2 linked regions of the Ovis aries genome follow. The protein of the gene in region 1 binds, or shares a complex with, the protein of each later gene. Links are inferred from orthologs where the notes say so. Each region holds a gene or a part of one and is shown in the gene's direction. Other genes may lie near its edges.

The links. The genes of interacting proteins can lie anywhere in the genome.
Region 2: the proteins of DISP1 (region 1) and SHH are in contact, whole or in part, in a cryo-EM structure (PDB 7E2I), measured with the Homo sapiens proteins. The link is inferred for Ovis aries from reciprocal best matches to the Homo sapiens genes DISP1 and SHH. Residues at the interface, in NP_001356523.1 of Homo sapiens: Lys242, Thr244, Gly245, Tyr246, Lys247, Ala248, Glu260, His265, Arg299, Phe336, Gly337, Asp338, Leu339, Cys340, Gln341, Arg342, Thr343, Glu459, Arg899, His904, Asp906; in NP_000184.1 of Homo sapiens: Pro49, Asn50, Val51, Thr55, Leu56, Gly57, Ala58, Arg68, Glu71, Phe73, Lys74, Leu76, Thr77, Pro78, Tyr80, Pro82, Arg96, Leu97, Gln100, Lys186.

What each region holds. Positions count from the first base shown.
Region 1 is NC_056065.1:25,739,703-25,744,383, forward strand, and holds part of DISP1 (protein dispatched homolog 1), read left to right. Parts: intron 1-1,027; coding exon 1,028-1,151; intron 1,152-1,978; coding exon 1,979-2,106; intron 2,107-2,466; coding exon 2,467-2,564; intron 2,565-4,681. UniProt on the Homo sapiens protein: Functions in hedgehog (Hh) signaling. Regulates the release and extracellular accumulation of cholesterol-modified hedgehog proteins and is hence required for effective production of the Hh signal. Synergizes with SCUBE2 to cause an increase in SHH secretion.
Region 2 is NC_056057.1:119,084,244-119,089,563, reverse strand, and holds the start of SHH (sonic hedgehog protein), read left to right. Parts: upstream 1-1,695; 5' UTR 1,696-2,010; coding exon 2,011-2,319; exon of another isoform or gene 2,320-2,472; intron 2,473-3,020; exon of another isoform or gene 3,021-4,044; intron 4,045-5,320.

The sequences.
Region 1 (4,681 bases):
GTATGGCTGATTTGTTTTGCTGTACAGTAGAAACTAACACAATATTGTAAAACAACTATACTCCAATAAAAAATAATTTTCAAAAAAGAAAGTATATAAATGTTTAGCAAAAAGAAAGAGGCACTAATATTGTACTAAATCAACCACTCAATCAAATCAAAGTCTCTGCCCTCATGTAGCTCACAGTCTAGTGGATAAGTTCATCATTGTTCTATGTCCAACTTTTTGTTTTAACTAAAAGAATGGTTAATAGGTTTATGGGGAGGTTTCAAGTTGGTTTGGTTATTCTTAAGACTTATAGGCTTTCCTGGTGGCTCAGCAATAAAGACCCCGTCTGCCAGTGCAGGAGATGCAGGTTTGTTCCTTGGGCCGGGAAGATCCCCTGGAGAAGGAAACGGCAACCCACTCCAGTATTCTTGCCTGAAGAATTCCATGGACAGAGGCAGCTGGCAGGCTGCAGTCCATAGGGTCACAAAGAGTTGGACATGACTTAGCATCTAAAACAACAATTCTTAAAGCTTTAGCTGAACCTGTTTATGGGCTGGGTTCTTTTTCAAGAAGTGATGGAGTGAAAGTAGGGAGAAAGAAATAACTGGAGAAACAAAAGTTCTGGAAGAGACTGCAAAGAGGATGGAGCCTCTGTTAAAATATATTTCTTTCCACTTAGAAAGTGTAGATTCAAGATCTTTTTCCTAGGCACAGATAGAGCAATGAAATATTACGTGTCAGAAATGGACATTATGCTCACTTTCAGGTGGTTAGATAGCATCACCGACTCCACAGACATGAATTTGAGCAAACTCCAGGAGATAGTGAAAGACAGGGAAGCCTAGCATACTGCAGTTCATGGAGTCACAAAGAGTAGCACCTGAGGAGCGACAGTTTATAATATCATTAGGTCTTTCATTGATAAATACCGGTACTAGGTCTGAAGTAGGAAGAATTAACTAATTGCTCCGTTAGGTAGTGAAAAAACTTCACTCTGCTCCTAAGAGGCTTTCTCTGTGCTCTCTCTCTGCTTTTGTAGTTACGCAGCCCTGATAGCAGACTGGCCTGTGGTTGTCCTGGGCATGTGCACGGTGTTCATCGTGGTCTGTGCCTTGGTTGGAGTATTAGTGCCAGAGCTTCCTGATTTCTCTGATCCACTGCTGGTAAGGAAAACTGAGCCAATAGAATCTGCTCGTCTATTTTATGTAGCCTTCCACCATCTCAAAAGAATAAGCATTTTAGGACACTTTATCTTATGTTATCTAGTACCCTCTCTTTTGCAACCTTCTCAAGCCATCAGTAAGTATAGTCACTTTCTGAAAGAGGGAAGACTTGTCTGTATTCTCAGGTTCTCAAAGGCAGTCAAGGAACTCGCTCACCTTCAAACATCTGGAAAGCTGTTTCTTGGTCTCCAGGTTAAGCTAAAAAGCTGTAAATTGGAGAATCTGCAGACTATAAAAACATTTTCACAAAATCTTTAAAACTAGAATGTCACCTCTTTTTTCCTGAGGAAGTTAAAGGAATTTCAGTGTTACTAAGAGAGCAGGGTCTGTTTTTAAGTACTGATAGATGTCCCTCGGGTATGGAATAGGGAGGAAAATATGAATGAGCATAATGATAACGATAAACTCTTTGTAAAACATGCATAATGTAATTTAATTTGACCATGATGTTTTATAACATAAAAATAAGTATTTACTAAATGCTAGGGATGCATATGGAAGAGAAGCTTCAGATAAGTTTTCTATCCTCTTTCCTGAGATATGTAACATACCAAAGAATCAGGCTGTTTTGTCACAGAAAATAGGTGATCATTATTATGTCAAATCATCTTGTTTTAATGCAGTTCACCTCTGGAGTAGCTGTGAAGAACGTATTTATTTTCTGTTGAAAGCTATCCATCACCTTGACATTGCCTTCCCAAGCTGTTATAACTATACTTAGCCTGAAATGAAGTACACTAATGGGAATTTGTAATATTTTGCCTTAGGGTTTTGAACCAAGAGGGACTGCAATAGGCCAGAGACTGGTCACATGGAATAACATGGTGAAAAATACAGGATACAAAGCAACATTAGCAAATTACCCCTTTAAATATGCAGATGAACAAGCCAAAAGGTAACCGTTTATTAACTTTTAGACAAAACATTGCTAATTAATTCCACTTATAAAAACTGCCTGAGCAAAACAATTACATCTAAAATGTGTGGCTCAAAATCTTTACCACTGAATGTGTTGAAATTGTCATTGTCTTTTAAGATTGTGTTGTCTGTTAGTGAAGGTTTGGGTTTGGGTTTTGTTTTCTTTTTTACCTTTTTCAGAAGTGAGAAAATTAATGGTGGTTGCTTATGCCCATCCATCCAACTTCATACCAAGCACTAAATAGGTCTTGACTTTGAGGCAGTATTGTTACCAGTAGGCTTCTCATCCTTGGAATGGTGAGGACTTGACTGAAGATCAAATTGTGTTCCATTTCAGCCATCGGGATGATAGGTGGTCAGACGATCATTATGAAAGAGAGAAGAGAGAAGTTGACTGGAACTTCCACAAGGACAGCTTTTTCTGTGACGTTCCAAGTGAGTGGCATCATAAATGACAAACCTCTCCGAGTTTCCTGGGATTGAACGTGACTGATAACCTATACTGTCCGGGTGTATGTGACTGATCAAACAGCTTTAGTGTTTCTGTCATGCTTCAAGAGATTTTGTTTAATTAACTTGTAATTTTACTTCTCTAGGTTAGTCAACCACTAATCTGAATTTATTTACCTATAATTAAAAAAAATAATGAGGGAAAAAGAAAAAAATAAGAAAGAGAGCATTGAGTTATAGCCAGTTTTAAGACAGACATAAATCTAATAAAATTACTGACCTTGCTCAATATTGCAAGTCATTTTAAAAAACTCCTTGTACATATTTTTAGATTGAACCCTGAAACAATCTACTGTCAAAACGCCTGTATTAATAGCCTTCTTGTGCCTGCCTTGTCATCAGGCATTAGTGGAAGAAAGACGAACAAATAAAGTCCAGAGGTTCAAAGCTTGCATGCCTCAGCGACCCAGCTCATATATGGATGAGATAAGTGAACTGAGTTAAGACAGCAGGAAGTGATGGTGACTGAAGAGTATATGGCAGAATATGGCCTTGAAAAAATGAGGGCCCAAATATTGTAAGAAATTCCCAGAGGCCAGGAATCTTGATTTCAATATGGCATCACAGATCTCTAAATGTTGGCAGCAAATTCACTAAACAAAATCTGCTGTAGTCTGTAGAGTCAGCCTGGTTCCTCTGTAGCTGCCAGGAAAGAAGAGTTCAGGGCCTCAGAGAAACATGTTTAACTTTGTATATCATGGATTAGCCCTCATGGTTACAAGTGAGGAATTGTGATAACTTCAATTTCTGATTAACTAAATATTAATATTGAAGCTCCTTTGGTTTCAGCTTTTTTTGTTGTTGCTGAAAATCCTTCTAAGATGTGTTTTTTTCTTATCTTCTTAGATCACTAGGGGACCTGATTGGGTCTTAGATGTTTCTTATATCTATTCAAACTTCAGGGTCTTTGTCTTGAAGACAGGAGTTTACTAAAGAAAACTTTGTGACCATTAATAAATGCTCATGTAATAAATTATTACTAAAGAAAACTTTGTGACCATTAATAAATGCTCATGTAATAAATATATTATTGTAATAAATAAATATAAATAAATTATTACATGAGCATTTATTAATGGTCACAAAGTTTTCTTTAGTAAATGCCTGTCTTCAAGACAAATGCTCATGTAATAAAGGACTTCCCTGGTGGCTCAGACGGTAAAGAGTCTGTCTACAATGCAGGAGACCCAGGTTCGATCCCTGGGTCGGGAAGATCCCCTGGAGAAGGAAATGGCAGTCCACTCCAGTACTATTGCCTGGAAAATCCCATGGACAGAGGAGCTTGGTAGGCTACAGTCCATGGGGTCGCAAAGAGTTGGACACGACTGAGCGACTTCACTCACTCACTCACTCATGTAATAAAGCTTTATTCATAAATTTGCAAATTGACTTTCTTTGTTCACACCATTTGGCATTTTCGATCGTATAAAATTAACCTACTTTGTTTCAGTTCACTTATGTTAATTTTTTAATGGCTGAGGGAGCAGAAACAGTACTTATTGAGCACCTGTTTTCCAGTATCTCATTTAATTCTCAACACGTACTTGAGAAAGTGTTGCTGTCTTTATTTTACAGATGAGGAACTGAAGCTCAGGGAAGCTGTTAGTTACCTAAGATCACCTAGCTAATAAATGATAGAAGCTGGTTACAACCCAGTTTTCACTCTAAAGACCACGTTCTTTCCAGGATATCACACAGCCTCCCTTGTTCGGAGATATAGTTTGTAACAGTATGATTCTCAAAATATTTTTTCTAGAACTCTGAGCACTCAGCAAGAATGAGGAGTATGTCTGTGATCCTTGACTTTTGTTAGTGCTTTAAAATTGATCGCTTGCCATCTTTGCTCTCTAGTTAGCTGCCACAGAGAACACCCTTATAATCCATTCTTGATATGCCTTGGTGCTTCATTCTTTGATTTCATATACCACTGCGGTGATATGTTGTGAAATTAAGAGGGAGGCATTCGGTTGATTTTCTGCCAAAAGTTCTTATGGATTGGTCTTCCTAATTACAGTTTGATCAGAACTAGATATGTTACATAA
Region 2 (5,320 bases), on another chromosome or scaffold:
TCTAGGAGAGGAAAAGGGGAGGGGAGGGAGACGCCACTCAGTGTCTAGGGGAGGGTGGTCAGGAGGCTGGAGTGTCCCCAGGGCCCAGGGGCTTGAGGACAAGCCCCCACCTCCAGCCGTGTCACGACCACACTGAGCTGCGCAAGGCCACCGCCCCGAGCAGACCTCCGCGGTCCAGGCCAGTGTGACCCTTCTGCTTCTGTCCCACTGGGAGACCCTGAGGAAGTTGGGTTGATGCCTCACGAATCATAGACCAGCATGGAGGGGGGAGGGGCTCCTGGACGGCAGAGCCTCGGTGATGCTGGGTGTGTGTGAGGCCCATACTGCAGACTCTGACGATGCCCCCCTTCCACGCCACCCCCAGCAAAGCGTGTCTGCGTGGAGCTCACCCGGACCGTGGCTGGGGCCCAGCGACAGCTCTTAACTGCAGAGTGAGCCCCAGGCCTTGCTCAGGCCCCTCCACGTGGAGAGCCCCGCCCCCCACCCCACTCGGAGCAATTACTGTGTCTGAGCAATAGGGCAGGGCCCAGAAGGAGGGCATATTCTGCAAAAGGCGAGGGGGGTGCAGAATCTGTGCTTTTCTTTTTCTGGTTGAAACAAGACTGAGTTTGTTCCTTAAATGCAGGACCTGAGAGCTCCAGCTTTGCTGGCCCTGAGCGCTGAGCGACTCCTGGACGCCCCTCTCTGACCAGGACAGTGTGCCCCCATCGCCCTGCCCCACCCCAGGCTGCAGCCCCCAGGGCACGAGGACCAGCTTGCCCAGCTCCAGGGAAAGCCGGCTCGGTGTGATGTGCAAGGAGCCTGAATTCCACATTCACCTCATCCCTGGCCTGCACTTTGCTCCGATCGATGCAGTCGTGGGGGTGGTGTGTGCACAGCCTTGCCCACTCACCGCTGCCCCCACCCCGTCCCCAGCACAGTGGGCCTCCGCCCACCACACAGGCACCAGCACCGTCCCCTGCTCTGAGCTGGGGTGCAGCCCCCCAGACCCACTCTGGCCCAGCCAGCTGGCCCATCCCCTCAGCTCACTCTGCACCTGAGCTCATCTCCATTCTACTCTCGGGGCGTTAAAAATAATGCATTAACCAAAGCACAATAAAGAGCAGCAGGTTCAAGTTGTTCTAAGGTGTCAGAAGCTCCTCAAACAGCACCACGAGGTGTGTCCCGACCAGCTGTAGTGACTGGAACCTTCAGGAGGAGCAGAGCCCCCCCCCCCCACCCCTGTCTTTCAACTGCAGGGAGACCTGGCCTGCATGACAAAGTCCCTGAGAAAACATTTAAATAGGACCTGGGCAGCTCTGCCCAACAAACATTTGAGAGACTATTTGTTTGGTGATGGAAGCTTGGGGGTGGGGGACGCTGAGTCTAGATGTCCTTTAAAAACTTAAGTTGGTTTTAACTGAAGCATCTACCATTCTGGAGGAAGGGAAGGGGGAATGGGAGGTGTGTGCAGGGCAGGGGTAACTGAGGTTATCCTCATCCGCCTGCTTCCTCCCTCCCTCTCACCTTTGTCTCGGTGAAGATGTTTTCCTCTCTTAACTAGAAGCCTTCAGGTAAAAATAAAGCCACAGCGGCAACAGAGGGGGGAAAAATGAGTCTTTTTTAGGGTTAAACATCAGAAGACAAGCTTGTGCGGCTTCGGCCAATCAGATCCGCCCTGCCAGCTATAATATAGTACTGAAGACAGCCTCTCGCACAAGCTCTCAGGCTTGCTACCATTTAAAATCAGACTCTTTTTGTCTTCTGCCGGCTGTCTTGAGCCCCAACTCCGATGCGTTCCGTTATCAGCGGCCAGCAGCCTGCCGTCCCAGCCCCCGTCTGGGTGCGGATCGGTGGCGAGTCCCCCGCAGCGGCGGCGGCGGGCAAGGTTATATAGGAAAAGAAAGAGCGAGGCAGGGCGCGCGGGCGCCAGCAGCCAGCCGGAGCGAGGGAGACAGAGCGCGCACACTCGCACACCCGCACCCTCGCGCACTCGGACCTGCGCCGCCGGCCGCCAGGTCCCCGGGCTCCATGGGCGAGATGCTGCTGCTGGCGAGATGTCTGCTGGTGCTGCTGGTCTCCTCGCTGTTGATGTGCTCGGGGCTGGCGTGCGGACCCGGCAGGGGATTTGGCAAGAGGCGGAACCCCAAAAAGCTGACCCCTTTAGCCTACAAGCAGTTTATCCCCAACGTGGCGGAGAAGACGCTAGGGGCCAGTGGAAGATACGAGGGGAAGATCACCAGAAACTCAGAGCGATTTAAGGAACTCACCCCCAATTACAACCCCGACATCATATTTAAGGATGAAGAAAACACTGGAGCGGACCGGCTGATGACTCAGGTAGAAACCCAGCGCGGGGCGTGGACTGTGTGGCTTTCAAGGGGTTATGTGTAACCATGCAGTTCGGTCTGTTTGCTCTTCAGGCAGGTAGAAAGGCGATTTTGCCCGCTCCTTCCCCACCCACCTGCCGGGCCTCCGGGTGCCTTCCTCTTCCTGGAGGGGAATGGAGGTGAAGGGTCCAGATGGACAAGTTGCGGGTGGGGGCGGGGGGTAAGGACGCCGGGACATGCGGTCCACGGGAGCCCCTGACCGCATGCATCCTGCTGGGACGGCCTTTCCATCCTGCCTGGCTCTGGCTGGAAACTTGGGGAGACCTTCCCTTTGGGGTCATCTGCCCTTCCCAAGTTGGGAGTGGGCACCGAGGGAGGAGGCAAGGAGGCAGCGTCAAGGGGTGTCGGGGTCAGCGGGCAGGTGCAGCCTCTGCGCTTTCCCTCTCCTTTCTCCTCGCTGCTCCGCTTTTCCCACCGCTCCCCTCGCTCTGTCGCCCCCACCCCACCGTAGCCCCTCCACAGGCAGTGCTGACAAAGGGTGGGGGTTCCAGAGGCAGCCGGGCTGGCCCCTGCCCGGATCACAGAGCTTCCACCGCCACTCGGGCGCGGGCGGTTGTGCCCATCCGAGTGTGAATGTATCGATATTTCTTTAAGGATGCCCTCTGATTCTCCCGAGCCCGCGGTACTTGAGGGGAGGGACTTAGAACTTACTGGCATTGCATCACGCTAGTTTTCAACCTGCTTGCCTAGGAATTAGGAGAGACTCGGTATCAGCGGGAGGGGGCTAGAGAGACGAACCAAAGCGAAACACGCATTCCTCTCGCCCTCCCTACCTCCGCTGAAGACTCCTGACTGCCCATCTCCCCGCCAGTGGGAGACTTTCCGCCAACTCCACGCACGTAGGACTGAAGCTAGAAATGGATTTCCTGAGGAATATAGGTCAACATCCTTTTTATTGCCCTATTAAAATATTCGAGTCCTACCTTTAGGGCCAGGAGCGCACCGCCGCTGACGGAGCGGCGCTGGCGGGGCGCTGGTGCGGGGGAGGCTGGGGGCGGGAGCGACCCGGGAGCCACCTCTGGGGCCGCGGCGCTCCCCGGCCCACTGCCCGGCCTTGCGGCGGAGCCGAGCAGGGCGAGGACCCGGCGGGGAAGCGGGCTTCCGCTGACGGGCAGAGGGCGGCGAGGGAGCGGGGGAGAAGGTCCTTCTCCCCGACTTGCTGGCATCTGCTCCCGACCACCTTAAATCTGGCCCGCGAGTGCGGACGCGCGCACCGGTGCCGGGAGCGGCGAGAGCCGCAGTTAACTCTGCGCAGGCCGCGGGGGGCCCGGCGCGTGCGGGGCTCCTACCCCCGGCCCACGCTCGACCCCCGCGGGACGGAAGGGGCCTTCCCAGGACCCCTCGGAGCCGGGGGAGAGGGGCGAGAGCCCGGAGAAAGCGGCGGGGGCGGGGGGCGCCGAAGGTCCCCGAAACAGAGGGCTCGGCGTGCGCCGCGCTCCGCGCGGGGCCGGCGCGGGAGGGAGCGAGGTCCCTGGCCCGCACCCTGCAGGGGCCGCGGGCCTCATCGCCCCGCCACCCGGGCAGAGCGCGCGGAGCCGCGCACCCGGGCAGACGCATCCCTGCTCCACTTACTCCCGGGTTATCGATCCCGCGGCTCGGGTTTCAGTGCGCGCGGGGCTGGACCGCGGCCTCCCGCCGGCCCCTCCACGCGCCCGAGCGCGGGCTCGGCCAAGGGCTCCCGGCGGCGCTCCGACGGCCAGGCTGGCGGGGGCGGCACCGGGCGGGAGCGGGCAGGCCGGTTCCCGGGCGGGGGCGCCTCCCGGGGCAGGGCGCCCGGCCGAGCCCCCGCCGGGCCCCTCGCCGCCCCCGCCGGGACCCACGGCCGCGCGGCCCGACGCCGGGCCGCTCCGGCCGCCGTGCGCTCCGGCAGCATTTGAACTTCTGACCTTCTGTCAACTTCCCTCAGACGAACGAAACGAAAACAAATACTTTTTTTCCTTGGGCAGTGGCTATTCCCGTTCCCAACACAAAAGGAGGGGGGAGGGGCAGCCGGCGAGGGGGCGGGGTGGGGCAGGGCGGGCCAGGATCGTAGCCGGGACCCCCCCAACGCCCCCTGAAAATGGGGAGGCTGGCCGGGGGGCGGCCTGAGAGGTGCCCCCTTGATCTCCGCCACCGCGTCCTTCCCGCGTCCCCATCCTAAGAGTTAAAGCGCGGAAGGCGGGAGACCTGGGCGGGGAGGGCAGGGCCGGCGAAGGCGGGGAGCGGGCACCTGCGCCCCGCGGGCCCCCCACTTAAGATAGCCGCCCAGACTGTTCTCAGGTGCGTGTCCCTCCTCCCCCGTCTCTGTGCGTCCCTGTCTCTCTAATGGGACTGCCGCCCAAGTCCCTCAACCATGGCGAGATCGTCCCCAGTGGAACTTTGAGAGCAGTTCAGGAACGCAGGCGCTCCTGTTAATATTAACTCGGGGCGGGGAGGGGGAGCGCAGACCGACGCGCTCTCCCCGCAGGCCGGCCGTGGGTGCCGGGGGCTCCGAGGGGGCAGGGGGCCGCCGGGGGCCGGCCGGGAGCGGCGGTGGAGACCGCCAGGTTTCCGGGGGGTGCGTGGCGGCCCCCGGGGAGCGGCGCTCCGCGGTGGGTTCCACGGGAGGGGCCTGGTTTTCTGCAGTGGGGGCGGAGGCGTGGAGAGAGGCGCGTGCGGGACTTGGGGGGGGGACCCTTGTGAAGCTGGGGCACCCCTCCCCCGCGCCGGGGAAGCCCGTCGGCGGCGACAGCCCCCGCTCGGCTCCCCGGGGCGCGGAGCGGCTGCGCAGACGGGGGAGGCGGCGGGAGCCCAGGCGTGGGGAACAGCTCGGCCTTCCGCCGACACAAAGCCGGGCCCGCCGGCCCCGCCGGGCTTCACGGTGGCTGCACAGAGGCGGGCTTGATTCGCGGCACACGACCCAGTGAATTGATCACCGGCCCAGCCTTCCCGGCTCTGCCTGCGACGACCCCGCCCGGCCGGGGCGCGGAGCG